Pelodiscus sinensis: one gene and its partners. The main gene of each other region encodes a partner of the protein of the gene in region 2 in a complex. Links are inferred from orthologs where the notes say so. Each region holds a gene or a part of one and is shown on either strand. Other genes may lie near its edges.

Region 1 (7,343 bases), on a different chromosome or scaffold from region 2:
AGACTTATCCATATTGCCTTCTATAGGGATTCTTCCTCTTGCCACAGAAACAGCACATACTTGCAGCTGTTAGACAGGATACTTAACTATATATCCACTGCTTGAACGTAGTATGGAAATTCATAGCATCTTTTGCACAGCTGCCCTTGCTTATACCCACATTGGACATCTATTTCTAGGTCCATAACACTGGGTCTCCATAAACATCTGAAAATGTAGTCTGTATCTTTCATGTTAGGTTTACAATTCAGTGGTTGCACAATATACAGTATTGCATAAAACAAAATTTTCCTCAGTAGTCAGAAGTTCTCTTTTTGTTTTCCTGTACGGTTGTTTCCTTCACTTCAGCCTTTTACTTTCATGTCTCTTTCACATAAATATTAACTTTATGTGCAGTGACTGGTCCTCTGTTTTTCAAAACCCAAATCTCAGCTTAAGCAAATTCATCTGTACTGTTAACTTGTCACGGTTTTAAAAAAAATCAGAAGTCTTCTGAATTTGTTTTACTTCCTGCATGATGGCACCCAATTACAAAGTTGGATACTGCTAACAAATATAGTTGTATGTATCATTAAAAAATAGATTCAGGGATACATCTACATTTATTGATTTGCTATATCATTTATCAGCTTAGAGCTTTTTTTAATATTCAGCAAACATACTGAAAAAGCATCATTTTGCTGCTTATACCACGTCAATATGGTATGCTACACATACTCTTTGAAATCTCTTCCACTAAATATATTTCCTTTATCATTTTTAGGAACAAATTTGTTGAATTTGATATGAAGCCTGTCTGCAAGAAATGCTATGAGAAGTTTCCTCTGGAGTTGAAGAAAAGATTGAAGAAACTAGCTGAAACTTTAGGGAGGAAGTAAAGCCTCCTTCTAATCTCCTGTTCCTGGAAAAAAATTAGAAAATATTACAGATATTACTTGACTTTCATTTTATTTTTCTTTGAGGCTGCAATCTGCGATACACAAGCAAAGAAAATTAGTTTCCTTGATGCATGACTAGCTTCATACTAAAGTACTTTCCTCTTTTCTCTCTCAAAACATGCATCTAAAAACCCTCTCTACATTTTATATAACTTGTAACTAACAAAAGCAAAATATATCTTCAGTTCTGTATTGGATATATACATTTATACATATCTGTTGATCTGTATATTGTACTTGCATATTAAACTGCAAATACAAATTCATTGTAAACTCTTTTACGGCTCTGGTCCTGCAGTTGAATCTGCTTTATAGCCACATATTTCAGTGAGATTCTGTGGAGACCTAAGATCTGCTTGTGCATTTCCTGCAATGACTTCACAAATAAACCTTGCTTTCTGTACACAAAGAGTGCCATTGAAGTTAAGGGTAATACTTGTGCATAGAATTCAGCATGTAATCTTTAAATGATGTAGCATCACTTTTTATGGAACTATTCATTTTTAGATTCAGATCCAAGTAATCATTATGAAGCCTTATTTTAAATGCCTCTGAAGTCAAACTTCTAAGTGCAACCACTGCAAAAGTGTAGTGCCTTTAATAGATAAATATTACATAATTAATTTTTGTATATTAGATTTTAAAGTTGTAATGGAAATATAGAAAATATATTCCTGTTGCAAGAAATATCCATATTCAGAACTACCGGAATTTTGTTATGTTCCATTTAAAATAATCCAGTAATATGAGTGTATTTGTATTTTACTTACATTTTGTGCCTTATTTTTCTGTACCTTTCACAACAGTATTCAAAAAAGGATGCATTAAATATATATACAGTTTTATTTTTATTTTATATTCTTATGCAGAAAATGTATACCAGGTATTATAAAACATAATATGCTTTAACTACTTCACTTCTATAGGATGTATGACGTTTGTTTTCTTTAAATATTGAGAACACTTGAATTTTAAAAAATACATTGTTGTTTCTTGGCTGAATTAATTTTTTAATAGTACCTACAATAATTCACTCTCACGTCATACATCAGTGAGTGTGTGTATAAATGGTCTATGCTAGAAGGTGCTGAGCACCTACAATTGAGCACCTAAAATGTCAGCCTTGAAGGACTGGGTCCAAATTGATGAGAATTCACTATAACATGCTTCTAAGTCTTATATTATTCATTAATAGTCATAAAGAATCTAGGGCTTTTCCCCCTTTCTTTATAAAGGTGCAGTAGTATGGCAAATTAATAAAACATTTTTTTTCATTTAATATAGCAGCCTACATAGATTGTATAGGTTATGCTTTACAAACTACAGTTTCATTTCATATCTTTTAAGAAAATATATCTCTTGGTTTAAAAGCTAAGCTTTCCCACTGTGATCAATAAAGACTACACAATTATAACCTGTTTGACTTGTTCTTAAAGGGATGTTTGGTGGTGAGGGACCCTGTATTTGTTCTCTTTACACAGAATACAGTCCAGTTTCTGTTGTATTATGGAACTGTCAGAAGTGACTCCATAGTTTAGGGTGTATTTCCCTTACTGTACTTTTCGCTCAACACAGATCCTACTTTAATTTAGGCTTTAAATGTGTCGATACAATTCAGTGGATAACTGAATTGTAAAGGAAATGTTCAGAATAAAATACCTGCTAACTTTTCCTAGACAAAAACATTTAAAATAACCCAGTTTTGAAATTTACCTCTGTCACACTCCCTCTACCCCCATACAACACAGACAACCACTCATCACACATTTTCACATTAGTACATAGGTCGTGTTTAATACATTACAATTATGCAGAATAAGTTTATCTTCCTTACTTGTTATAACAAACACTAGAAGAGACCAAGGAACTTCAGAGAGCCCAAATAAAGCTAGTGAATTGCTAGCACGATCCCATGTGAATTTCACTGAGGACAAATGCAAAGCAATGAACATTGAAAAATATGATAAAGCCATACACTTAATGAGTTCTATCAGGAAAAAAGTCTAAGGACACTTGTGTGGCAGCAGTGCTGTGTAACTGTTATATGTACATAACTTACTCTTACTTGCAATTTAGTTCTAGTCAGTTTTTAACCTGCTAAGATCTACCGATCAATTACAATGGGTTGCATGTGGGTTGCTTAGTGACAGCACCAGACCTGTCAGTCACTGGCTGCTGAAGAATGCCCCTTTCCTTTAAGTTCCATCTTGTTTTATTTACTCCTGCCCTCAGGATCCTGTTAACATTTAACTGGTTAAACTGATTAAGCAGGATTTTACATTCCTACCCTGGACATACTCGGTAGTTGAGGAAGAATTAAAAGCACAGTTTTGCTGATCAGGGTGCTATACAGAATGAAACATTGTGACACAGTTTCTGAAGTAGCTTCAATTCATGATAAACACATAATAATGGTTCCAGGTAGTCCATCAGTAGGCTTGTTCTGAGGCTTAATCCTACTAGATATAAATTCTAATATCAGAAGAGTATTAACTGAAGATGATCAGTGTAATACAACACATGCCATCACAGAAATAAAAAATGATTAGGAAAGCTGATCTGCACAAACATGCTTTTGAGACACAAAGTTCATGAGCGCTACCCTGTACTCTTAGGGTGCAGAAGGGGGAGAGGGTGGGAAGTAGGGTGCACAGACAGGCTGGGGGTAGGGTCTCCGGCCAGAAGGGAGGATGCAGGAGGGGACTTGGGGCAGGGTGTCTGGCCAGGAGGGAGGGTAGAGGAGAGGCTGGCAGCAGTGTTTGGGAGCCCTCACCTCTGAGTTCATGTATTGAGTGTAATGGGGGCGAAGGTAGGGCGGTGACAGAAAGGCGCAGCGCTGGGCGGGGAAGAGGGGTGTTATGTGCACGACCCCCGCCCTACAGCCTCCCTGCCCGGGCGTCTGTCCACCTGGTTTTACAAACCTCCCATGGAGCCGCCACGCCCCCCCTGCACAGTCCGACTGTCCTCAATGCTCAACGTTTCCCCGCCCGCACCCGCCTTGCGGCAGCGAGCCCCGTTCCCGCCCCGCGTCCTGCCCTCAGCGGCCACGGGCGCCCCGCGCGGACCTGCCCCGCAACCTGAGGTGCCAGGTTGTCCTTCCGTGCGCGCGCAGCCGGCCCGCCCTCCGCTAGTTGTGATTGGCTCGCGGCCCAGGGGCTGCGACGGAGCAAGGAACGCGCCGGGAAGCCCCGACCCCAGGCGGAAAAAGGGACTGAATCAGACTGCCGAGTTGGGGAGGGCAGCTCAGCCGACATACGTCATTTCCGCTTCCGCAAGGGAGGACGACGCACACGCACCGCCGCGTTACGCACCTTGAGGAGGCGCGCGAACGTACCTAGACTTTCCTCCCCACCCCCCCCCACCAGCCAAGCTCAGTCTCCCGTCTGCCCGGCGCGGCGCGAGCCGGGGTGGCGGGGCTCGAGGCGGCGTTTCGGTTTCGCTTAGTCGGCGCGCGCCGCGGCCATGAGGCGCAGCAAGGCCGAGGTGGAGCGGTACATCGCCTCCGTGCAGGCCGCCGCCCCCTCCCCCAGAGAGGTGAGTGGGGCCGCCCGCTCCCCAGTCTCCGCCCGCCTGCGGGGCCGCGGGCGCGGCGGTTTGTTCGCCCAGAGCGCGGGGGGCGCGTGCTGGTGCCCGTTGGCGAGCGGGGGCTGGTCTCGGCCGGAGCGGCCGCGTGTCCTGGCCCCTTCCCCGCGGGGCCCCGCAGAGCAGCTTCCCGCCCGCTCCGGGGAGGCGAGTCACGGGCCCGCAGGCGTTCAACGTCCCTGCCCCGGCAGCCGGGCTGGCCTCGTTCCGCGTGGGCGGGGCCGGCTGCTAACCCGGGCGGGCCCTGACCTGGCCGGGGGGCGGAGGGATCCGCGGCCAGAGCTGTCCTGCGCCGGAGGTTTGCCTGGGGGCGGGGCTGGAGCCAAGGCTGGGAGGCGCTTGTAGCAGCCGGGGTTCCTGAGTCTTGTACTAACGGGAAGGAACTTGAGCTGTCGTTGGCTGGGGGCGTTTCTTTCAGCCTTCAGAGGTGGGGAACCTTTTTTGGGTCCGGGGCTGCTGACCCACAGGAAAATCAGTCAGGGGCCATGCGCAAGTGAAGGGAAAAAACCCCAATCATCACTGATGTGAAACCCTACCTCCTCCCCCCAGTTGAGAAGGAGAAAGACACTCCCTGCATTCCCCTCCCACACCGTAGCTAGTGGAGCCCAGGCTAGTAGGTTTTATGTGCTGTGGGCCAGCAGGAAGGTTGGGGGGTGGCTGGAGTGTCCGTCTGGGCTCCCTAATGCTGGGGGGGGGGGAGTCCTGATCCTGGGGGCCAAGTCCAGGCAAGCCATCCCTCCTTTACACCTTCCCCCATGGTCATGATGAGTTGAGGAACAGCAGTGGGATAGTGCAGGAAAGTTTGGCCTGATACTTCTGCTAAGCAAAGGATTTAAGTCAACAAAGAAATGGTGCATAATTGATGTGTGTGATAAACATTGGTATTGCTTTTTTTAAAAAGAGCATGATATCTAGTTTTCAGAGTTACTAATTTATGGGATAGTAATTTGTGGACTCATTCTTTTTTTCATGAAACTTCAATCATGTTTTCATAAAAAGTGGCTGAGTTACTTCCTTGCTTGTTGATGGGTATGCATGGCAAGTACCACAACTGTTTACATGGAGTTAGCTAAGAAGGTATCCTGGAATGCAGTTCAGCAATGAAAATTATTACTAGTTTTATGTTACCAACTATTTCTCTGCAAATCTCAGAAGACACTCTCTAGATTGTCAGCTGTCCAATCAACAAATCTACCAAATTTAACAGTTACACCTATGAGGTTTTTTTTGTTACCATGAACAAAACTTTTTAAAATGTTTTATCCTGTTCACTGTGTGGAAGACCCACACAAACAGGGGATGCTGATTTTTACATGGGTAATGCATCTAACTGTACAGTCAAGTTCACAAAATAAGTAATGGAAAATAGTTACATAAAATTCTTTTTGTCCTGTATTGTAAAATTAAGAAGGGACAACAATTAACTCTCCTTTTGAAATTGTAAAGAAATGTGACTCACCAGACCTTTACAAATTTCCAGACACATTTGTTCAATAATATAATATTTATGAAAGATTAAAAACTAAATATGTCTTATTAAAGGATAAAAAATGCATGCTTTTGTTCAAAAATATCTTTGTGCTGTAACACTGGGAGGCTAAACTTCCTCTTTTCTGGATGATTTGAGAAAGCTGAGGAGTTACATGGATTTCCTTCCTAGATCTTCGTTCGCGAAGCCAAACCATGATGATGGGTGATGACTTGTTAATTCAGTGGTTCTCCAGCTTTCCTCAGGTTGTTCGTTGGTGGCTAGCAGAGTTCTGGCTGATAATGTACCTTTTTTTTTTTTTTTTTTTTCTTGTTACCAGTTCTTAAATTGCATTGAAGAGACTCAACATATTTTTAGTTGTCTGTTGTCGTGCACTCTCATGGGCAATTGCTGTAGCTGACACGGGTATTTTCTAGTTGTGAACATAGGAAGTGATACATAATACAATTGTTTTATGAAGAGGCGGTGTTAAAATGTAAATATTCCAGAGCTCATGTCAGTATTTCAGTTACTTGGACTTCTACTAGAAATATGATAGGATCTTTGATTGGTTTTGTTAGCATAGTTAAATATGTTCTTGGAAGGAAAAGTACTTGGCCCTTTACAGTTGGTGCCCTTGCTAGAGGCTTGTCAGTAAGCTGATGGCTGGACCAAATTTGCATGTAAAAGTCCAAATCTTCATAATATCTAAAACATCTATTTCTATGTCTGACTTCCTTGATAGAGCAGTTACTATAGTTTCCTCACCATGTAGATACTTTATCATTTGAGCACATACGTTGTTTGGTCTATGCTCCAAGGAGCTTCGTCAAACAAAGACACAGTTAATCCAAGGACAAACTGAAGTCCCAAATTGCAAAAAGGGTTAAGATTTTGGATTAAATATCCTTTTAAACAAAGATTGACATCTTTTGTAGATTTTTTTTTTTTTTTTTCCACTGTGACTGTGGCCCACCATTTGATTTTTGGCTGTTATGTTCTGAACCATTCTCCTATGGTGTCTTAAAGATAAAAAGGGTTGTATGGTTACTTTGTTTTTGCTAGAGCCAAGTAAAATTAAGTTCATAGCAAAATATACAAATTGAAACTTAGCTGTGTCAATAAACATTTGGTTTATTTTATCAGTCTTTGCTGGGGATGTGAAGAACTAGTGGACAAGCAAATACTTATCGGGTAATCAACAGGCTAGTTGATTAATCCCTCTCCCCCCACTGCCTCTATCAGAAAAAGGCAGCAAGGGGGAGGAATAAAAAGGGGGTACTTCAAAGTGATAGCTGGGGTTTCCCCAGGCTGCACACTGCATTTCAAAGCAGCAGTACTCTGTGTAGCCTGGG
Region 2 (7,671 bases):
GGGTAAAGCATTCATAAAATATATGCCTAAGAGAATGTTTCCATGTTGACTCTTTAAAATTCCAATAGCAGATTTAAATATTCCTCAACATTGTTCACAGCTTACGTACCCTAACCACCACCCCACGTGACGAGGAATCCTATGGCACCTTACAGACTAAGAGATTTATTGGAGCATAAGCTTTTGTGGGCAAAGACCCACTTCTTCAGATGCATCTCACATCATGGAAAACAGCTAAAGGAAAACAGCTAAATGTTTTGATACTTAATTGATTTTCAATGTTTACTTCATATATTGCTTTCCTCTTGGACAAGCATTTGTAAACAAAGAAAGTAAAATTGAAGATTTAAAATAAATTCAGTTTAAGTAATTTAAACTATAGGCAATAAAGGTTACAAATTTATAATGCAATTAAAATTGACTATTTCATTTTCATCTCTGCCTCTTTATTCTTCTGAAAATCTGAGTTACGAAAGAATGTAAAATTAACTGTAAAACACATTGAAATCCTCAGACAGAAAGTGCCAAAAAAGTATAAGGTATTATTTGCATCATAGGAAATTGTCGCAAGCAAATAGAGATCTAATTTTCCTTATTCTCTGGCATCTTCTCATTTTGATCTTAGCAACTTCCCTATGAAATACTCGAAGTTCAGAGTGCAAAAGTTTAAAAAAAAAAAATGAATAGGAAACATGCCATTTTCTACCTCAGGTTATTTAAAAATCTATTAAATCAAATGCGTGTTTGTGGCAGGCCTTTGGCAGCTACTATGATTTCTGGTGACTAACTGCTACATGGAATACCCCATGTTTCAATTACCTTAAAGATAAAAAAACAAAGTATTTAAAGCTTGCCCTCTCTTTTACACCCACTGACTGCAATTATGACAGAGCTACAGGACTATCCAAGAGCCACTTATTAACGCAGATCCCCCCCCCCTTATGACTGTGCAGTAGGAGAACAAGGCAGGCGACTGTCTAACCTCCAGTGAATGTCCCTCCATGAAAGGACCTACAAGCATTTATCACTCAGATTGCATCACTGTTGGTGTTCGACACAGAAGATTAACAGATTGAGCATTCTGATATACACTAAGGCACCAAGAGTCCCTCCAGCATCTCCTAATCTGACCTCCTTCCTGCTTTTTCACTCAACACTCCTAAAAATAAATCTAAGGGGTGTCACTCATTTCTCCTCTGCTTCATCTGCTTTCCCGAGTAATCTGTTCCATGTGTGTTTTCTTTACACTAGCAGTTTTACCTAAAATAACTGATTTTCCAGTTACAGTTACTAGCTTTTGAGTTTCTCACAATTCCATCTCACACTTTGCAAGTCTGGAGTCTTCTCTTTTCCCATGGGAAATAAATTCTGCTGAGTCTGATTTTTCTCTAAGCATGGTAAGGTTACTAGTGAAAGCAACTGAACTGTCTGTCATGAAGACTGCATAGGCCTTCAAAGGCCACTTAAAAACTTAAGAAAGGTCAGCCTACACATTCCATTCAGTTCTTTGCCACAGAGCACCAATCACTGCAATTATTTTTTGTTATGCTGATATTTGTCCACTAGGAATGGAATTGAGATATCCAAACATGTTTCAAGTAAGATATATAAAACAACACCCACAGGTAAGACCTGTCACTTACTACTTTGGTTGAATATAAACCCTAGGTCTGAAAGATGAATTGCTCAACATAGCCCATTACCCATTTCCCTGGCTACTCAGCTTATCTGGTGCCAATAGCTTGTTTGTCTCCCTGTGAGGCAATGTATTCAAAGCAGCATCTTTCCTGTGGCACAGTGATTAGACTTGCATACGATACTCTAAATGAGGGTTCATAGGAGCAGTTACAGGCAAAACAAAAGGGTGATCATCTTAGTTACCTTTAACAATTCTTACTTAGCCCACAGCACAATAGTAGTATTAAAGTGCTTAACACAGCAAGCCTTATACAACTACACATCCCTTTTAAGAAGCTAAGGATTCCGTCTGTGCTAAAACACATGGATGAATAATTTGTCCAAAGAGTGAAAAGCTTCTGCTTCTAGGAAGAGCGGACCCAGCCGAAAGAGGGGACCCAGCCAGGACAAGGCTGGGCGATAAAAGCAGGAGAGCAGAAAAGGGGGTGTCTGGCGTTGCCTACATAAAGCCGCCACGAGGGTTACCCGGTGACGAGCCTGCCACAAGCCGAGTGCCTCGCAGCCCAGCCTTCGGGCCGCGCTGACAACCGCCGCCAGCGCCGCGCTCCCTGCCCCGGGGCCCAACAGGGCCAGTCGCCGAGGCTGCCCACAGGCCGCGGGGAGCAGCCGCCGGGCACCACGGGGCACAGGCCGAGGCGGGGCCAGGTACGCGGCGCTCGGGCCCGGCTGCAGCCCCGCTCCCGCCTCCCCGCGCCGGACGAGGCCGCCGGGCCTAGCGAAGGCGGCTCGGGAGCAAGGGCCGGAGCCCGAACGCCCCCAGGGCCCGCTCCCGGGCCCGCCGCCCTCCGGCCCGCGCCCGGCCAGGCCTCACCGTGAGCGGCCGCAGCACCCGCGCGTGTCCCGGATTGAGGCGGCAGCGAGTGACCCGGATGTTCCCGACTCGGCTCCCCCCTTTGTCTCTGGTCCGGACTTTCCCTCCCTCCTTGGTCGGTGCGGAGCGCAGCAGCGTGGTATGTCCCTCAGTCCGACCCGTCTGTCCCTCTGCGCCGGCGCAGTATGACCCTCAAGCCGACCCGTCGAGGACAAAGGGCCTTTAGGTGGCCTGTACGGAGCCCGAGCGGCCCATGAGGGAGGCTTGCTGTGGCCTCCCTCCCGTCTCCCTCCATCCCTTTGTGCCTCGCCTCCCAGCTGCTCCTGCCGGGCCCACTCCCGCTCCCACGAGCCCCTGGGTGGATCGTTCCTACAGGCACTGAGTTAGTTACCTGCGCCTTTCTGCGGCAAAGACTGCGGCGGACTGGAAAGCGCGCGGGGCCTTCGGCAGCACCACGAAGGGGCGGGGCTCGGCGGGATAGGTCCCCTTGCCTGGCTCCCACGAGTGTCGTGTGCAGAGGCCGGTGGCGCCTGGATTCCTGTGACGTCACAAGGGGTGTTTGCTCTGCCCAGCGACTGGCGGGGGGTCCCCAGAACGTCTCGTGCGGGTCCACCCCGCCGCGTGTTCCCCACGTGGGCCGACCGGTGTGGGCTGGGTCTATTCCATAGTCCACGCTCACAGTCACAATCATTCCCCCTCCCCCCTCTGCTCACAATCACTCCCCCTGCTCACAATCATTCCCCCTCCCCCCTCTGCTCACAATCACTCCCCCTGCTCACAATCATTCCCCCTCCTCCCTCTGCTCACAATCACTCCCCCTGCTCACAATCACTCCCCCTCCCCCCTCTGCTCACAATCACTCCCCCTGCTGATAATCACCCCTGCTTACAGTCATTTCCCCTACTTACTCCCCTCTGCTCACAATCACTCCCTGCTTACACGCCCACCTCTGCTCACAATCACTCATGTTCACATACCCACCTCCCCCTCTGCTCACAATCAGTCCCCACTCACACGCCCATCTCTGCTCACAATCACTCATGTTCACACACCCACCTCCCCCTCTGCTCACAATCAGTCCCCGCTCACACGCCCACCTCCCCCCTCTGAGCTGTCTACACTGGCCCTTTTGTGCAAAAGCTTTGCGCAAAAGGAACTTTTGCCTAAACGGGAGCAGAATAGTATTTCCGCAAGAAGCACTGATTTCTTACAGTAGGAAGTCAGTGCTTTTGTGGAAATTCAAGCGGCCAGTGTAGACAGCTGGCAAGTTTTTCCGGAAAAGCAGCTGATTTTTCAGAAAAACTGGCCAGTCTAGACACAGCCCTCTAGAGATGGAGACTCCACTACTTCCCTAAATAACCCATTCCAGTGCTTCACTACAAAAGAGTGGCTGTTTCATGAGTGGGAGACTAGCAGGTTGAATGAAGAGGTGAGGGAGGGGAGATAGACAGCTAAAGGGCTTGACATGATGTCAATACTGAAGCTGAAGTAAGAAAGGATTAGTCTGTTGAAAAACGGAAAGGAAAGTGGATGGGAAAGAGCTAGGTGAGGGCAGGATGTCGATGGGAGGCATCACATGCAGTGTTGCTCGTTAAGGATAAAGAGGGAAAAGCAGGAGGAGAGAAGATGGAATCAGCAGGAATAGAAGACTAGAAGTGCAGTACTGTACCTACATCAGAGTCTGATTGGGAGAAGGGGAGTGAGTGAGCAAGAGAGGATTCCTTAGGGCAGTTGCAGAGGCTTCAGGTCTGAGTAGCAGATGATGATGCTGTGAGGGCAGAGACAGTGTCCAGCATGACCCTGAAGCATAGAAAAGTCAGTCGGGAGCAGGGGACACAGTACTGGGGAGGGGTGCTAGTGGGTTCTGGGGCAGGGAACAGGGTGCCACGTTCGTCTGGCCTGGGGCCAAAACACACTCCCCCCCCCTTTCCCCATGATGCAGGGAAACCCTGCGCACGCCTGCCCCGGGGACAACTCACACCTCCTGCGCCGGTGCAGGGAAATCACCGTGCTCCTCTTCCGGACCCAGGGCCCCTCCCACAGCGCGCCTGGCAAACCAGCCAGCGCACTTCCGGAAGTGGCACTAAGCTGCGGGACTTCCATCCACCCGCGGGAAGCCGGCACTACCTCCATTTTCGCTGGAGGTGAGTACTGGGGCTTCTCGGGGGGTGGGTGGAAAATGGGGGTGAGGCCCGGTTGCCTCACGATTGACTGGTTCAGGCCTTGCGATTGACCAATTGATGTGATCAACCTGTTGGTGACCACGGCATTAGGAGGAGCATTTCCAGCATATCTAGAGAAGTGATTATTCCCCTTTATTTGGCATTGGTGAGGCCACATCCGGAGTATTGTGTCCAGTTCTGCCCCCCCTTCCAACCTCACTATAGAAAGGATGTGGATGTACCAGAGAGGATCCTGTGGAGGCGGCTGGAACACATGGTCTACAAGGAGAGGCTGAGGGATTTGGGCTTATTTAGTCTGCAGAAGAGAAGAGTGAAGGGGGATTTGATAGTAATAGTGGGGTAGCCATGTTAGTCTGATCTTGCTAAAACAAAAGGAAAAACTATGTAGCACTTTAAAGACTAACAAGATGGTTTAATAGGTGATGAGCTTTCATGGGCCAGACCCACTTCCTCACATCATATTCTGGAAGAGAATTGGCATTGATAGCATAAGAACATAAGAACGGCCGTACTGGGTCAGACCAAAGGTCCATCTAGCCCAGTATCCTGCCTGCCAACAGTGGCCAGCACCAGGTACCCCAGAGAGGGTGGACCGAAGACAATGATCAAGCGATTTGTCTCCTGCCATCCCTCTCCAGCCTCTGACAGACAGAGGCCAAGGACACCATTTTATCCCCTGACTAATAGCCTTTTATGGACCTAACCTCCATGAAATTATCTAGCTTCTCTTTAAACTCTATTATAGTCCTAGCCTTCACAGTCTCCTCTGGCAAGGAGTTCCACAGGTTGACTACACGCTGTGTGAAGAAGAACTTTCTTTTATTAGTTTTAAACCTGCTCCCCATTAATTTCATTTGGTGTCCTCTAGTTCTTCTATTTAGGGAACTAATAAATAACTTTTCTTTATCGGCCCTCTCCACACCACTCATGATTTTACAGACTTCTATCATATCCCCCCTCAGTCTCCTCTTTTCTAAACTGAAAAGTCCCAGTCTCTTTAACCTCTCCTCATATGGGACCCGTTCCAAACCCCTAATCATTTTAGTTGCCCTTTTCTGAACCCTTTCCAAGGCCAAAATATCTTTTTTGAGGTGAGGAGACCACATCTGTACACAGTATTTAAGATGTGGGCGTACCATAGTTTTAGACAGGGGCAGTAAGACATTCTGGGTCTTATTTTCTATCCCTTTCCTAATAATTCCTAGCATCCTATTTGCCTTTTTGACCGCCGCTGCACACTGCGGGGAAGTTCTCAGATAACTGTCCACGATAACTCCAAGGTCTCTTTCCTGATTTGTCGTAGCCAAATTAGTTCCCATCATACTGTACATATAGTTGGGGTTATTTTTCCGGATGTGCATTACTTTACACTTATCCACATTAAATTTCATTTGCCGTTTTGTTGCCCAATCACTCAGTTTGGTGAGATCTTTTTGGAGTCCCTCACAGTCTGCTTCTGTCTTGACTATCCTAAACAGTTTGGTATCATCTGCAAACTTTACTACCCCAGGGTATGTCTACACTACAAAGTTAGTTCGAACTAACGGACATTAGTTCGAACTAACTTTAATAGGCGCTACACTAGCGCTCCGCTAGTTCGAATTTGAATCGAACTAGCGGAGCGCTTAGTTCGAACTAGGTAAACCTCATTTTACGAGGATTAAGCCTAGTTCGAACTAGCTAGTTCGAATTAAGGGGTGTGTAGCCCCTTAATTCGAACTAGTGGGAGGCTAGCCCTCCCCAGGTTTCCCTGGTGGCCACTCTGGCCAACACCAGGGAAACTCTATGCCCCCCTCCCGGCCCCGGACCCCTTAAAGGGGCACGGGCTGGCTACGGTGCCCGTGCCAGGTGCAAGCCTGCCAGCACCCAGCCAGCAGACCCTGTACCTGGCAAAACGCTAATTCGAACTAGTTTTTAGTTCTAGACGCGTTAGTTCGAATTAGCTTAGTTCGAATTAACTAATTCGAACTAAGTTAGTTCGAACTAGCGCTGTAGTGTAGACGTACCTTCACTGCTTTACTACCTCACCCTTTCTCCAGATCATTTATGAATAAGTTGAAAAGGATTGGTCCCAGGACTGACCCTTGGGGTACACCACTAGTTACCCCTCTCCAATCTGAAAATTTACCATTTATTCCTACCCTTTGTTTCCTGTCTTTTAACCAGTTCTCAATCCAAGAAAGGACCTTCCCTCTTATCCCATGGCCATGTAATTTACACAAGAGCCTTTGGGGAGGGACCTTGTCAAAGGCTTTCTGAAAATCCAAGTATACTATATCTACTGGATCCCCCTTGTCCGCATGTTTGTTAACCCCTTCAAAGAACTCTAACAGATTAGTAAAACAGGATTTCCCTTTACAGAAACCATGTTGACTTTTGTCCAACAAATTATGTTCTTCTACATGCTTCACAATTTTATTCTTTACTATTGTTTCTACTAATTTGCCCGGTACTGAAGTTAGACTTACCGGTCTGTAATTGCCAGGATCGCCTCTAGAGCCCTTTTTAAATATTGGTGTCACGTTGGCTACCTTCCAGTCATCAGGTACAGAAGCCGATTTAAAGGATAGGTTACAAACCACAGATTATAGCTCAGCAATTTCCCATTTGAGTTCTTTTAGAACCCTTGGATGAATGCCATCCGGTCCCGGAGATTTGTTAACATTAAGGCTACGTCTACACTGGCCCCTTTTCCGGAAGGGGCATGTAAATTTCACCAGTCGTCGTAGGGAAATCCGCGGGGGATTTAAATATCCCCCGCGGCATTTAAATAAAAATGTCCGCCGCTTTTTTCCGGCTTTTAAAAAAGCCGGAAAAGAGCGTCTACACTGGCCCCGATCCTCCGGAAAAGGGCACTTTTTCCGGAGGATCGGGGCCAGTGTAGACGCTCTTTTCCGGCTTTTTTAAAAGCCGGAAAAAAGCGGCGGACATTTTTATTTAAATGCCGCGGGGGATATTTAAATCCCCCGCGGATTTCCC
Region 3 (6,982 bases), on a different chromosome or scaffold from region 2:
GGATCTTTTTTGTTGAGCAAACAAACAAACAAAAAAATCGGGAGGAAAAAGAGTTGGGGGGGGAGGGGAGTTATTGAGGGCCTTGGAGTTCCTCATTAAAAAAAATATTCTTTGGTGTTCCTTGATCTTAAAAACATCCTTTAAGGGTGGCCATTTTGAATTCAGTTGTTCACCGTGGCACACCAGTGCGCCGTAGAACACAGTTTAAGAAATACTGGTTTAGATTGAAAGTTCTGGATAGGTACTGACTTTTACTATCTATAGTACAGAATGATGGTTTGGTTCACTAGGTGCCAATGTGATACAACCAGTAATATTTTGAATTAATGGTCTTAGTATTTTGTTGATGCTTTCACTATATTGATTTAAAGGCAACATTTTAAATAAGGAGATAATTCTATGAAAAGAGAAGGTCTCTGCTCAGATAATTCAGCAGCACTAAATTTAGCAGGCCCGTATGCAGAGGGGTGCAAAGAAAGCACTCTCCCATGGTTCTCCAAATAAGCAGGCTCTGGCTGGCCAGGAAAAGGCAGGAGCAGCGTGCCTCCCTTCCCTGTGCTCTGGCCTGCAGCGGAAGGCTGAGGCTGATTTTCCCGCTTACTTGGGGGACCATAGGGTGTGTGTGTGTGCATTCACACCCTTGTGGTCCACATTTACACCCTACCCCACCCCACCCCGAAATTCCTGCGTATGGCCTATATAGTGGGGGCAATTAGAAAAGCATTCAATGACACTAGTTGACTGCTTCACATCGGATGTTAGAGCAGTTTTGGATTCCGGATGTACTTGCTCTCTTAGGGTATGTCTATACTACACCTTTTTCCGCTTTGTTTTTTCAGAAGTGACTTTTCCGAAAATTTCTGAAAATTGGGCCAAATTTCAGAAAACTCCCCTCTTTCAGAAGATCTCTTCTTCCTTGTAGAATGAGGAAGACAGGGCTTCTGAAAAAGCGCATCTGCTCTTCCGCAAAAAAAAGCGGAAGAGCAAACATGTTCTCTGGAAGCGTCAGAGTATTTTCAGGATACCTCTGGAAAAACCCCCGCAGTCTAGACGTACCATGAGGCAAAAGTGCCAGGGGCCCTGCAGTACAGGAGGCCCCTGACTTGTGACTGCCCAAGTTCTGACCCCCTGCTCCCCTCGCACTTATAACCATTTTTGTAAGCGTGGATGGGGCCGAAACCCCCCAACTTACGTTCTCGGCCTGCATTTACGACAGCACATGGCACCTATCGTAAATGTGGGTTCTGTCAGTCCCCGCAATACATGAGGTTCGAAGGGATGCCGGAAAGAATGAGACCACGACTGGGGGTTTGAAAAAATAAAAACTGATTTTATTTTGATGAGGACTCTGGCGCCTAATGACTGTAAACTTAGTCACATGCGCGGTCGCCAGACAATCATCAGAATTAAAAACAAACAAATCATCAAACAATATAAAACAATTCCCTGAGGCTTTTTTAAATCATAATAATTCTCAATAACTGCCCAGGGGTTAGAAACAGTCGAATTCACACTGGTGTTGTTCATAAGTCTAACTATTTACACTATATTACACAAAGAACAGTTAAAGACCTTAACAACCACTATTAAAAGAACTAACACAATAACTCTTGAACTACTATTACTAGACAGGCAACGGGGGTAACTCAAAAATCAATTGGGATAGGAATAATTGTGGGGGAGAGGGGTTATACCGATACTGAAGACAGCAGGAACACGAGTACCAGCCACATGCTCCCAAACTGTCTCCACTCAGGTCGACCAACTCGAAGTACGCTCAAACAAACTCAAGAGCGGGGGGTGCAAGGCAACTGGGTGATCAGGCCAGGCGTTGACACGATGCAATCCCCAGTCAGAGGGGGTTTGCCTGCCTGTTTTATTGCCTATGGACTTATCACCCCATAGGTTGGTTTTTGCCGCAGTGGGTGGAGTGAGCAGGCCTGACCACAAGTCAGCCCATTGGCTGATCTTTCACTGCAGTGGGTGGAGCAAGCAGGGGAAGATCAGTAATTTACATGCCCTTATATGGGAAGCGCTCCGCCTCACAGACAGAGCCCCCTATACCAGCCTTAGATGTATGACAGGCTATGGCTCTCCTGCGACGGGCAGCCAATGTTGATGTTCTGTCTCGGACAGGTTCAAGTTATGACGCCCCCGACTTGCAATGCTTGCCCTGGAACCAATCGCGTCACAAGGTGGGGGCCTCCTGTATTATTCCCCCTACTGGAAATTTAACTATAGGTTGTGAAACTGGATAACACTATAATCCCCTGCTTTGACTATTTTTATTAGTGCTTAGTACCAAGTGATCCATTTCAAGGCCTGTCTTGCTAGCTCTGTTAACTGTCTGACACCGCTTCTGTTAAGGTTGAAAGGAGTTTGTCCAAGGCCAACACCAAGGATGTGGAACAGCTGAAGGAGAAAATCAACTCACCCAACATTAGATACTAATGGTACATTTACACTGGAACACTGTTTCGAAATAACTAGCACTATTCCAAAATAACGTAGTTTGCATCTACATTGCAGGCAGTTATTTTGAAATAGTGTCAAAATACTGTTAAGCTGGAGGCCTTCTTACTCCGATTCTTGTAACCCTCCCTATACAAGGAATTAGGGTTGCTAGGTGTCCAGTTTTTGCCTGTACAGACCAGTATTTGTGGCCCCTCTCCAGTAAAAAACAACAGCAGAAAATATGTCCGGTATTTTCTGTTGTTTGGGGTTTTTTTTATGGAAGGCCGGCAGGGACATTCTTCCTCTGCTGCATCTGGTGGGGGTCAGGGGAGTGAGGAGCAAGGGGATTTTTAAAGGCTCAGTGACCTTTCTTTTTTTTTTCTTTTTTGCTTAGCAACTTTGGTTCCCCGTTTTTTGCTTTGCTCAATCAATATTTTTCCTGCCATGTTAGGGATTTTTTTTGTGAAAGTATCTGCCAGCTCTACAAGGAGTAAAGAAAGTGGGAGGAAGAGTGCTCTATTTTGAAATAAGTGCTGTATAGATGCTCCTTATTTTGAAATAAGTTACAGAATTGACATAGCTCAATATGGCTACATCTAGACTGCAAGCCTCTTTCGAAAAAGTGAGCCGCTTTTTCAAAAGAGAGCACCCAGGCAGTCTGGATGCTCTGTATCGAAAAAGCCCTGTTTGCATTCAAGAACGCCTTTTTTCGAAAGAACACTTTCAAAAAAAGGCATTCTTCCTCGTGAAATGAGGATTTAATTTTGAAAGAACGCGGCTGTAGTCTAGATGCAAGTGAAGTTTTTTTGAAAAAAGGCTACTGTGTCTAGACTGACCAGTTTTTCTGGAAAAACAGCTGCTTTTCCTGAAAAACTTGCCAGCTGTCTACACTAGCTGCTTGAATTTCCACAAAAGCACTGACTTTCTACTGTAAGAAATCAGTGCTTCTTGCTGAAATACTATTCTGCTCCCATTCAGGCAAAATTCCCTTTTGCGCAAAGCTTTTACGTAAAAGGGCCTGTGTGGCCAGCTCAGATTTGTTTTCCGCAAAAAAAGCCCCGATCGCAAAAATGGCGATCGGGGCTTTTTTGCGGAACAGTGCGTCTAGATTGGCACGGATGCTTTTCTGCAAAAAGTGCTTTTGCAGAAAAGCGTCCGTGCCAATCTAGATGTTCTTTTCCGAAAATGCTTTTAACGGAAAACTTTTCCGTTAAAAGCATTTCCAGAAAATCATGCCAATCTAGACGCAGCCAGCCTGTGTGTAGCTTATTTCGAGATAAGCCATGCAGTGTAAACGCACCCTGACTCCGGGAGTGGCGCTGCTACAGGCAACTGTTGGGTGCTGCTGGCTGCCGGATTCACGGAGCAGCTCAGCTGCGAGGGGAGCCGGCCAAGGCCTGTGGCTCACGGTGCCCAGAGTGGGGTTAACCCACAGGGCTTGTCCCAAAGAAGGGCCAAGGAGGGGGCAGGGCGGCCAGGGAGCCTGTTGCCTTGGAAGCCCCCCGCGGGCGCTGGGAGCCAGGGCGGAAGGGGAAGCGAAGCGGCCTGTGCCCGGCGGCGCAGCGCTCGGTAGCGGCCGGCGCGCGCCATGTCGGCGGAGGCCCTGGAAGAGCTCTCGGCCCTGAGGGCTATTTACTGCCAGCCGGACGAGTGCGCGGTGCTGGCGGCCTCAGGTGACTGTCGCGGTGGCTGTAGCCGCCGCCCGCCCGCGCTTATCTCCGATCGCCTCCCTGCAGAGATGCCCCGTGGCCCAAGGCCGAGCAGCCAGTAGCCCCTGCCCACTAGGCAGCGCTTCCTCGGCTGAGTCCGCCCCCCCCCCGGCACACCTGGCGCGTGAGCGCTTGGACCGGTCTGCGGAGGTTTCCATGAGTTGCCGCGGCGGGTGGTGAGCGGGTCAGTGAAGGTGCATGGGGCAAAGGCGGCGAGTGTCTGATCTAGTCCGTATTTGGCGCGGCGCCGCCTCCTTTCCCCCCCGGGCCTAGGGAGACTTGTCAAGTGCCCTGAATTCACGGGTCCCATGCTGGTCTTGTGGATGCATTGCCGGACAACTTGGGCGTTTTCTTCCCTGGAAAATTGGCACCTTGTTCCTTTTAACTCCCTGCTGTTCTGTGGTTTACAAAGTCAGCCATACTGGGTCGGACCTGTGGGCCCTCTACCCCAGTATCCTGACGTCTGCCTGTGGCTGGCACCAGGTGCTTCAATGAACTGAAAAAAAAAAAAAAGAACGGAATAGTTGCAAAGTGATCCATCTTCTGGCAAGTAGAGGGTCAGGACACCCAGAGCTTGGGTTGTGTTCTTGGCAGTGTTGGCTAACTGCCATTGTTGGAAAAACTTAAAAAACCAACAAATAGACTAGTAGCACATCTGTCCTCTGGTAACTTTTTTATTTCTTTTTAAAAACTCAGTTATGTTTTGCCTTTATCCCTTAGAAATTAATTCCACAGCTTGACTGTGTTGTGTAAAGACATACTTCTGAATGATTTAAACCTGCTGCCTATTAATTTAATTGAATGATCCCTGATTCCTGCTTTGTGACAGCATGAAACACTTCCTTATTTACTTAATCCATACCATTCATGAGTTTATAAACCTCTATCATACCCTCTTTTTGCTGTGTCTTCTAGGCTGAACAATCCCAATCTTTTTAATCTCTTCTCAACAGGATGCTGTTCTATATCCCTTAATGATTTTCCCAACATTGTTGGTTTTTTTTATTGGATGTAGTATTCGTTTAATATTGAATGAATTTTCTCTGCAGATCTGTGCTGTCAGGGCAATAGACTGGATGATCTAAGAGGTCTCTAATATCTATGAAAATTAAAAACTTTTTCAATAATGTATGCTCACAGTAAGCACTACCTTTGCATCTTGCCTGCCTCCCAGCATCTGCCTGTGAGCTGAGCTAAGCATTCTTTTCTGCTGCCCACCGCCTCTTGAAGAACTTAAACTCCTCTGTGGTACTTTACTGAAGTTTGCTCTTAGACTACTAAACAGTGGTAATGCACATTAAATATGCTTCCAATTTGCTGGAGAAACTCTTAGCCTCTCTGGTCAGTAGCATTATAAAAATGCTTCACAATCAGAATTTGCATCCTATAGCAAATTCTGACAGCATTATCTATTTTTGCATGCTTTCCCATCACAAAAATTGTGATAGTAAGTAACTCCTTTAATCTCTTACCTTTTATTAGTGGTAGCAAAGATGTCTCTTACCTGTCAGTTTCCCACCATGTATCTTCACAGTTTGCATCTTTGGCACTGGGTAAATCCTAATGGGTATCACTCTCCTGTCACAATTTGCTATCTCCTCCAGTTCCCGGCATTGACACTGCATTCAGCAAATAATACTAGGTGAATGACACAATCGGAAGTTGTTACCTGCCAGTAGAAAAATGTAACTAACCTGATAAGCAGTTATGCTTCCGATAAGTAGAAAGGCTTGGAGGCCACATAGGGTTGTATAATGTTTAGTAGGCAGTAGTTGTCAGTACACACCTGCAGCCTGAATCTCAGTCACTCCTGTCCGGCGCTTGGTGCAGGAATCAAATGTGGCTTTCTGCATGTTTGTGTTCTAGAGATGCAAAATTTTGATTAATTGGCTAATCAAATAGTTGATGCAATTTACATCAACCATTTGATTAGTCGATAAGGGTACCTTTGCCTTTGAAGTGTAGTAACAGCTCTGTGGTTGTTGCTACACTTCAAAGGCAAAAGCGCAGTGAGGAGCACAGGGCCAGCGGGGGTCTCAAGTAGTCCTCCACTCGCCCATGCTCCCTGCGGTATTTCAAAGCTGCAGCACTGCATGGAGCCCTGGGTAAGCGGGGGAGTCCCCAGCTGACCCTAGGCTCCACATGGTGCAACCGTTTTGAAGCACCATTGCTCTTTGCCCCCCCTTGCTGCCTCTTTCTGATAGAGGCAGCAAGTGTGTGTGGGTGGGGAATCAACTAGTTGACTAGCTTATCAGATAGTTGACTAGTCATTCACATCCTTGTTGTGTTCCCTGTATTCTTGAACTGTATGAGGCCTGTTTAGTGTAATTTATACCATTCTCAGGACTTCTGTCATTTATGCTCTGCTTCCCAGAGCAGCCTATGGGTTCTGGGGAAGCAGAGGATAGTCATGGTGTGAGGCATTCGGGTCAGGCCCCCTAATATGTTGGAGGCTGGGAGCAGAGTGAATGTAGAACCATTACATTAGTTCTGTTAAACCAGCCAAGGTGGCCCCTTCGTATAGGATATTCTTAGGGGGCCATTTTTACCCAAGTGAAGATCCCTTTATGCTGTTGGAGTCATCTAAAGGAGCCTACACTAAAGTTACAATCAGAGTTGCAGGACCCAGTTTAAAAAAGACTATAGCTTTATCCCCAGACCATAATCAAGTCTTAGGGTGTATCTACAAGCATACTGGGACTGAAATAACTTAATCATTTTTAATTCATGCCTTTGTTATCTTGGTACAAGTTTCTATAAGAAGAGCTCTATGTAGCTTGAATGCTTATTTCTTCCACCAACAGAAGATGGTCCATTAA
Region 4 (7,774 bases), on a different chromosome or scaffold from region 2:
GAACGTTTACATTGGCATGGATGCTCTTGCGCAAAAGCACATCTCTTGTGCAAAAGCACATGCCAGTGTAGATGCTCTCTTGCACAACTACTTTAACGCAAGAACTCTTGCGCTAAAGAGTTTTTGCACAAGATCATGCCAGTGTAGACATAGCCCTACAGGCATAGTCTGCCTCGGCTGGTGATTAACCATTCCCTTTCCAGCCATCAGGAGCTGCAGGGAACCATGCCTGCGAACGGTCATGGTAAACAAAATGTCTCCTGGTCAACCAACAGATTACCCTGAAGGGCCAAGTGCCAAAGTCTGCTGACCCCGATGTACAATAACAGAACTCAAAGAATCAGACACAATATAATAATTATAAATGTACAGTAAGCATCACAAATTTAATAGGTGCCTTAAGATGGTTATAGTCATGAGCATACATCAAGCACCCTACAGTTCCTAATGGCCTCCATAACATCAGGGCCAGGTGGAGAACAGTCCACACCACATCAGAGTGGCTGATTTTTAAAGTGTTCTTTCAAGGCCTCCCTCAGACTCATGGCTCTGCATTGAGCTCTTTTAAAGCCTTTACATTTGATGGTTCATAGGAATTGTACACAATAGTGCTGGTACAACTTAAGTCACTCAAGAGGTGTGAAAAAGCTACTTCTGAGCAAGTAAATTACACCAACCTAATGGACAGCACTATTGCTCTCCCGCTGACAGTTACTCTGGATTGGGGAGGAGGAGTAATTATGCTAACAGGGAGCTCCCTTCCACTGGCATAGACTAGCATTTGAACTAGCAATGCTATAGCAGTTGTTACCTCAATTCAGCTGCACTGTTGTAGTGATTCTAGTGTAGACTAGCCCTCAGATAGTGAGACACCCACCTCTGCTCTCCATTGTAGTGGCAACTTTTCCACCTATATTATTCAGAACAGGTAGCTATAACCCCGGGACATTTTTCTCACTGAGCTCCAATCTTGTGAGTAAACAGTCCCAGTGTCCCTTCAATCTGCCATAAAAACATTCACCTGCATCTGTCATTTTGCACTTACACTGAGCAGGTGGATCTTTTCTTGGAGCTGTTGATGTGTCCAGCACAAGGTTTCATAAGCCAGGGGACCAAGGGATAGTTGTGGATCACCCCAGTCACTGCTGGCATTTCTATGCAGAGGCTGGGAAAGAACATCCCTGCTTCCAGATTTCTGAACAGATGTGTTCCTAAAGTTGCAAAAATCATACACTTTTTCTGGCCAGCCAATAATGATATCACTGAAGTGTCTCCAGCAACCTACCAGTGCTTGCATTTCCCTGGAAAAATAACCTGTTCCGTAACAAGGGCTGATGCCAAAATGATTGTATGCATATCCCTAATTATCCCACTGCAGCTTGGGAACCCTGTTGCTACAATCTATCCAGTAGGTCTTGCACATTACCAGAAGTCACAGTCCTGCGTAGCAGGAGACAATTAATGGACCTTTATACCTGGAAAAGTCACAAAGGTGGTTTTTTTTTTTTTTTAAATAGACTTTCAGTATGTTTTCTAGAAAGAACGAAAACAGAGCTACGTTGGGATATAAAGGTAATTACTGGGTAAGCATGAGCTTTACTAGAATGCTTACTGGGTGCAGTGTGGAGCTGGCTACAGTCTGGTTGGGCCCACCGCATCACACCAGGAGCGGGGGAGCCTCATGAGGATTAATTGGTTAAACAGCATTTAACCAGTTAACTTTTTAAACAGTAAGTAATAGCCCTAGTTGGCAGTCAAAATTAAGTTTCCTTACAGATACACTTTAGCCAGTAGTACATAACTCCAGAGAATTCTCTATGCAGTGATGTTAAGTGTCACACTAATCCCTTCAAAGAACTTTTACTCTGTTACCTTCAATGATACAATCATCAGGGTGCAGTATTTACAAAGGGAATCAGTTACTTCATGTAAAAACAGGTTTTGTTGATGTTCTTAGGCTGCTTTTTATAATTTTTCTTCCTTGGAATGTCATCTTGTGTTTGTATTTAAAATTATCCCACCTTGAAAGCTTATGATACCATCTACATGTTTTGTTAGTCTTTAAAGTGCTACCAAACTATTAGTTGTTTTTTAAGTTTTTCATAATGTGATAATTAAGTTACTCATGATACCATATATCAGTTATAGTCTTAGGTGTCAATGTATGTTTCATCTGCCACCTTTAATAGAACTAATGTTTAAGTATTTTCCATGTGAAGTGAGGAATCTTGATTAAGTAGTTCTAAAGAATTTAGCAAGAGTATAACATACATTTTGCTTCATAGTAAACAAAGAACAAGAGCAGAATAGAAAGTACTGAACTTCAATAAGCATTGGTTGAGTTCTTCTCATTTTATTGACTAATTGGTTAAACATATTGCCCCCCTTCTTTCATCCACCAAAAGCAGGAGCTGCTCTAGCAGTCCCTTTCACCACCACAGCAGACTGCCTGCGGTGGACCATGGTACCCCACAGGGAGGGGCCGCTTTGGCATCTTGGTCAAAAGAGCCCCTGCCTGCAGGGCAACCTAGCTTGCCATGGAACTGCTCTGGCTGGGATGCTGGAGCAGCCCGACTGCAGCAGGCCAGAGCACCTCACAGGCAGTGACTGCTCCAGCATCCTAATCGGAACAGCTCCTGTCTGCAAAGGTACCAAGGCTCACCAAGGGCAGAGGCTGGTCCAGCAAGGATGCCAGAGTCTCTACCTGCGGCGGGCTCTCTGTGGGGTTGGAGCTGCTCCAGCCCCCACCAGCTTACCTTAACTGCGGTAAATCTCATCCATTAAGGTTGAGGCTTATGGGTTAACCAGTTAAACCTTCACCTCCCTAATGCATGTCACCAGAAGTATTATGTGCCACAGCTGTTTGTACATTAAAAGACTAATTGACCTACATTTTCAGAGGCAATTAGTGATTTGGGGATATCAGTTTAATCATCTTAAAGGAACTTGATTTTATGAGGGCAAACAGTGAAATGTCTTTTACAGAGTTTCAAGTTAGCCATCCCATCATCAATAGTTACTTGTGAAAATATATACAACTTGTATTTAGACACTTGTGTAGTTTTTACTCTTATTTGGATATATACTTTCTAAGCAGCATCTTCAACTCCTCTGAATCAAATCCACATCTATAGCTCTACCTTTCATAAAGTGCACCAAAATGACAAAGTATGTTACAACTGAAAGGCATCACTTTTATGTTGCTAAGGTTGCTTGCACAAGAAGTTATTTGGTGCTCAAATCGTGGTGATGGTGATGGTGATTCAAATACCACTTGAAAAATAAAACTGTTTTAGAATACATGTGGTAAAAATTTATACTTTTATAGGAAGATTAAATACTTTTTAAAGCACATTAAAAGATTCAAACTTCCTTTCTCCCATTAAGAATTAATAATATTTCATAACACAAACTCCTACCTACAGTATTTCCTCAGCAGCATTTGAATAGCCTTTACTACCTGGCATATTGATTCTGGGAACCGTATATCTTATGTAAATACTTACTTAAAATGAATTGTAAACAAACATTCACATATATGCTACTGCAAATCAGGAATGTGGGGTTCAGTGTTCCTAATTAGATAAGGTGACCATATTCCCTCCCCCCCCCCCCAAGGGAAAATGGCCACTGCATTAAGGACATGAAAGTTTAACTGGCCAGGCCTAGGCAGGGAGGGCCACTTCAGCCCAGCAAGGCTGGAGCAGTGCCCCACTCCCCTTTAATCAGTTAACACGTTAAACAAAGTTTAACAGGTTAGCCAATGAAATGGGATTTTACATCCCTACATGTCACAGGTGTGAGCCAAGGTTCCTTCCCATAGCTGCCCCAAGGCCTCTTTCCCTAATGTGCAGGATTGGCCTCAGTCCCTATGCCTTGCGCGTGTGGAACCGATTTCAGGCCACCCCCCACACCCCACCTGCATGTGGGGCAAGCCCAAGTCCCCTCCTCTATCCCCTGTGCATTCAGCCAGCCCAAGACTCTCAGCCACTTGGGGCCGGATTCAAACCCCACTTGCTCCTCCACCCCATTCTCCCTCCCACCTAACACTGTCCTGCTAGGGGTCGCAGCCCGAATTTTTGGCAAACCTGTGCCTTTGTCCAGTTTGCGCTTGTCCACTGACGCTCAGGAAAGGAGGAAACGGACAAATCTACAGAAAAAGTCGGGGCAGGGCATTAAAAAAAAAAAAGATTGCCCTGCCCCAGCGGCTCATATGGTCACTCTATAATTAGCCTGCGTTTCCCCCTCAATGCCTCCTCCCTCCCGACTCTTTGTCAGCGAACTGCTTCTTGAAGAGCGTCGCACTCCCCGCGTGGCCAGTTTCAGCCACCAGAGAGCAGGAGACGGCTGTCCCAACGCTCCCATTCAGAATCGAGCGCTAAGAGGCCATGGATTGCCTGCGCTGTGGGCCGCGGGCGAGGCTCTGTAGCCGCTGCCCTGCGCTGCACGGGGCGGCACCGCCCAGCCTCAAAGGGCTGCTGGGTCAACGGACTCTAAACGGCTGAGACACGCTACGGTGATGGGGCCGTAGACGTACGCGAGGAGAAGGGCGGGGAGGGGCTCCCTCTGAGACACACAGTGGGGTGCCCGGCCCTTCCGCCGCTGCCCTTGGAGCCAGCCACAGACGCGCCCACTAGCCCTGCTCGCTCCCAGCGAACGCGAAGACAGAAGCTCTTGCTCCTAATAGGCACCATCCGGCGACAGGGCCCTACGCGCGCCTAGGAATCTCGTGCCGGTCGCAGGCCAAGAAGACCCCCCCCTTCTCCCTCCCTCGCCCCGCGCTTTCTCGGGGCCTCACTACCCGCTCTACGCAACCGCGCGCCCTTCTCAACGCACCGTCGTAAAAGCTTCTCTCGAACGCCTACGTCATTCCAAGCGCCCAGCCAATCATCGGTGGGTAAAAACTGCGCCCGCGGGTCGGGAGTTGTGGGCGGGCATCGTTTTTGAGCGACAGCTAAGCGCGGCCAGTCAACGAGGGCTGCCGCGCCGCCACCTCCCCCCTCTGCGGGCAAATCGCTGCTAGAGAAGAGGCAGGGCCTCCTACCCACCCCCCCCTCTCGGCAGCGCACAGACGGACGGTCCTCTTGTCCAATGAGAGGCGAGGCCGCCTGCGCAGCGGCTGTGTTCGGAGCCAATGGGAGCAGCAGCTGGGCGGAGGCCTGAGGTTTCCAAACGCTTCGCGGCGCCATGGGCTGAAAACTAAACCGAGATGGAATCTCCCAGTCTGAACCGGTTTGAGCCGGTTCCGAGTCTGTGGCACTAGGAGGGGGAGAAACGCTGCGCTCACTCCCTGCCGCCGCTGCTGCCTCCGCCGCTGTGTGTGTGACCTGCTCACAGGGGAGCCCGCAGGGGGAGCCGCCGACACACCCGCCGGGGCAAAGTTTAGTGCGAGCGGGGGGGGAATGGGGGTGTACTGAGACCCGGCCAGATCAAGGGGAGAAGCAGGGGCCCGGGCAACCAGAGACTCAGCCAGAGGAGCCCGGGGCCTGGGGAGTGACAGACCCGGGGCCCACCAAAGCAGCGGGGCTGGGAAGCTCGGGACTCAAGGAGCCCCAGGAAAGCAGATAGCCGGGCCTGGGGAACCAGAGCCAAGCCGCCGGGAAGGGAGGGGCTCCATCCCCTGCGCTGGGCGGCCTAGGCCCGGGAGCAGGTAGTTGGGGGCCGAGTCCTTGTAGGGGGAGCCAGGGGCAGCAGGGAGCGAGTGAGCCTGGCCAGGGGTTAGCAGCAGCCCGCGCTGAGCGAGTCATACAAGCAGCCCAGTGCACGCTTGGCTTGGAGGCGGTGGGGGGGAGAAGGGTGACACCAATAAACGCTCAGTCGGGGAGAGGGCGCGCGCGTGTGATTTCTCCTCAATTTTTTTTTGGTGTGGTTGGAAACTTCACTCCCCCCGCCCGCATTTTTTAAAGGCCGAGGCTGTAATAACTATTTAGGTAAGTAACTCTTATGGGGTGAAAATCTTGGGGTGCGGGGTTGGATGTATTTGGGGGGGGGAAGTGGGAGGGTTAAAAGGGATTCTCAGCAGGAGGGTGGGTGTGTGGAGGGCAGAAAGTCGCGGGTAGGCAAGGCACAATGGGTGTAAGACTTAGGGCGGGAGACGCGTGGTCTTCGGGCTACAAACATCAGACGTGTCGGCTTTGCAATTGACTAGAGAGCAAATTCTACCACTGATGCTATGGGTGTGGGGAAAGAAGGAGCGTGGTGTGGGGAGGTTGCTGTGAAGGCTTGTGGGGGTGGGGTAGATGGTGGTCATTTTGTGCTTTTGATTATATGTGAAGTGTGGGGCTGGAGCCAGTGTTGGGAACTCGAGAAATTAGGGGCATAATCTGTAAATTATTAGGAGTGGAAGTTTCCAGAAATATTTTTGTGTGTCTGTGCAGCAGTATTGAAACGTCCGCCTGGATCACGTGGGGTGGCCCTGTATACAACGCAGGGACCGAGAGGAGGGAGGGGCTGCAGTGTCCCTACTGCTCTCCGCAAAGAAACCTAACAAACCTCCTTCTGTTCCTAAACCCGGATCTCTTTCTCCCTCCCGTCCGACAGATACTTTAGTAATGACTGTCAGAAAAACTGATTGGCGCGTAGTTGTGTGTTTTTAATAGTATAACGTTCCGTGTACTGCAGTATTCTGACTGGTTTGCAAGGGAAGTCAGTTAAGGCCTTTACACAGAGTAGGTGTGCATCTGTATGTTCACATGCAGTATTTGTGTACATCAGATATCTTGTTGATAACAATTCGAATGTATTTGCATTTATTTGGATATATATTCTTTAATGTGACAAGTCTGCTGCTTAGGAAAGAAATGTAGCTGAAGTTCTGCTACCTATTATTGCTATACACACACATACGGGGAAAGGAAACAAGCTCTTTCATTAGTGTGTGGAACTGCGGCATTAACTTTAATATAAATGCCCACTAAATTTTATATGTCTAAATTGATGTATAATGCATGTGCTGTGCAGGTCTAATCGTGCTTAGGCTGTGGGAATAGGAAAAAAAGGAAACTTTAAATTGCCTGATATAAATAATCCTGATAGCTTTAAAGAGTGTGGTGGGATGCCGATTTTTACTTCCATTGTAGTTAGAAGTGGAGCTGTTCACTAGCTGAGTTGGGCGGGGTTAACTGTATGTTTCGGGTGGCTACTTCTATACTTAAATGAATCGTGCTGCTGCTGCCCCCGCACAGCCTGAAGTAGTTGTTGAGTTGTATTTGACCTAGAGTTTAATTTGAATGTTTTTAAGCTTTTTTTTTTTACTTTGTTGTGTGGATGTTCTAATTCACTGAGCACAGCTCATTTTAAAATTGCTGTTCTGATGTGTTTATGGAATGGTAATCGGTATGCTCGTTATAAGCATTTTTGCACTTCATGCACAAGGCCACTGTAACCTCAGGTAGCTCTGTAAACAAGTCTCCATTCTTCTGGGTTTTGGCAAGTGTAAGATCCTTCCCTTATTTATTAATTGTGATACTATTTAGTTTTCATTTTTCAGTTTTATACACTAGCAGTTGGAAGCAGTTTTAGGTGCAAGCTGAGGTATGGATCGGGGTGAGTGTCTGTCTAGCAGATCACATACAATACTATAGGCTTGATCTGGGCACATTATTAGGAATAGGCAATCAAGTTAATCGCAGTTGGCATTGACCACAAAGCCGCCATTTTTATATTTCAATTCACCAATAGGTAAGTCATTTTGGAGATAATGCTGGGAGTGGCAAAGCACTCTATTAGAAGTGTTTCCTTTCTGCTTTCATGCGGCTAATAACTTTTAGTCACG

What was found.
Region 1: the proteins of UBE2I (region 2) and E3 SUMO-protein ligase RanBP2 are in contact, whole or in part, in a crystal structure (PDB 3UIO), measured with the Homo sapiens proteins. The link is inferred for Pelodiscus sinensis from reciprocal best matches to the Homo sapiens genes UBE2I and RANBP2. Residues at the interface, in NP_003336.1 of Homo sapiens: Ile4, Ser7, Arg8, Gln11, Glu12, Arg13, Lys14, Ala15, Arg17, Lys18, Phe22, Gly23, Val25, Val27, Lys30, Met36, Glu42, Cys43, Ala44, Pro46, Gly47, Lys48, Lys49, Trp53, Glu54, Gly55, Gly56, Leu57, Lys59, Pro69; in NP_006258.3 of Homo sapiens: Leu2651, Lys2652, Leu2653, Pro2654, Phe2657, Phe2658, Tyr2660, Tyr2666, Val2667, Glu2669, Glu2671, Glu2672, Asp2673, Asp2674, Glu2675, Asp2676, Phe2677, Ala2680, Val2681, Leu2684, Gly2686, Lys2687, Leu2688, Tyr2689, Leu2690.
Region 3: the proteins of UBE2I (region 2) and RWDD3 are in contact, whole or in part, in a crystal structure (PDB 4Y1L), measured with the Homo sapiens proteins. The link is inferred for Pelodiscus sinensis from reciprocal best matches to the Homo sapiens genes UBE2I and RWDD3. Residues at the interface, in NP_003336.1 of Homo sapiens: Leu6, Ser7, Ala10, Gln11, Arg13, Lys14, Arg17, Lys30, Gly34, Thr35, Met36, Leu38; in NP_056300.3 of Homo sapiens: Glu3, Pro4, Glu7, Ser10, Val11, Ala13, Ala14, Ile15, Cys17, Pro98, His101, Glu102, Leu105.
Region 4: the proteins of UBE2I (region 2) and XPO1 are in contact, whole or in part, in a cryo-EM structure (PDB 9B62), measured with the Homo sapiens proteins. The link is inferred for Pelodiscus sinensis from reciprocal best matches to the Homo sapiens genes UBE2I and XPO1. Residues at the interface, in NP_003336.1 of Homo sapiens: Ile125, Gln126, Tyr134, Cys138, Gln139, Asn140, Val142; in NP_003391.1 of Homo sapiens: Gln207, Gln210, Glu243, Thr244, Lys245, Tyr279, Gln282.

The regions. Positions count from the first base shown.
Region 1 is NC_134711.1:235,356,311-235,363,653, forward strand, and holds the start of E3 SUMO-protein ligase RanBP2, read left to right. Parts: upstream 1-4,333; 5' UTR 4,334-4,400; coding exon 4,401-4,472; intron 4,473-7,343. UniProt on the Homo sapiens protein: E3 SUMO-protein ligase which facilitates SUMO1 and SUMO2 conjugation by UBE2I. Involved in transport factor (Ran-GTP, karyopherin)-mediated protein import via the F-G repeat-containing domain which acts as a docking site for substrates.
Region 2 is NC_134726.1:41,417,424-41,425,094, reverse strand, and holds the start of UBE2I (SUMO-conjugating enzyme UBC9), read right to left. Parts: upstream 3,012-7,671; 5' UTR 2,901-3,011; intron 2,694-2,900; exon of another isoform or gene 2,510-2,693; intron 1-2,509. UniProt on the Homo sapiens protein: Accepts the ubiquitin-like proteins SUMO1, SUMO2, SUMO3, SUMO4 and SUMO1P1/SUMO5 from the UBLE1A-UBLE1B E1 complex and catalyzes their covalent attachment to other proteins with the help of an E3 ligase such as RANBP2, CBX4 and ZNF451.
Region 3 is NC_134719.1:36,236,205-36,243,186, forward strand, and holds the start of RWDD3 (RWD domain-containing protein 3), read left to right. Parts: upstream 1-3,966; 5' UTR 3,967-4,042; coding exon 4,043-4,127; intron 4,128-6,982. UniProt on the Homo sapiens protein: Enhancer of SUMO conjugation.
Region 4 is NC_134713.1:180,629,454-180,637,227, reverse strand, and holds the start of XPO1 (exportin-1), read left to right. Parts: upstream 1-4,759; 5' UTR 4,760-4,893; intron 4,894-5,155; exon of another isoform or gene 5,156-5,930; intron 5,931-7,774. UniProt on the Homo sapiens protein: Mediates the nuclear export of cellular proteins (cargos) bearing a leucine-rich nuclear export signal (NES) and of RNAs.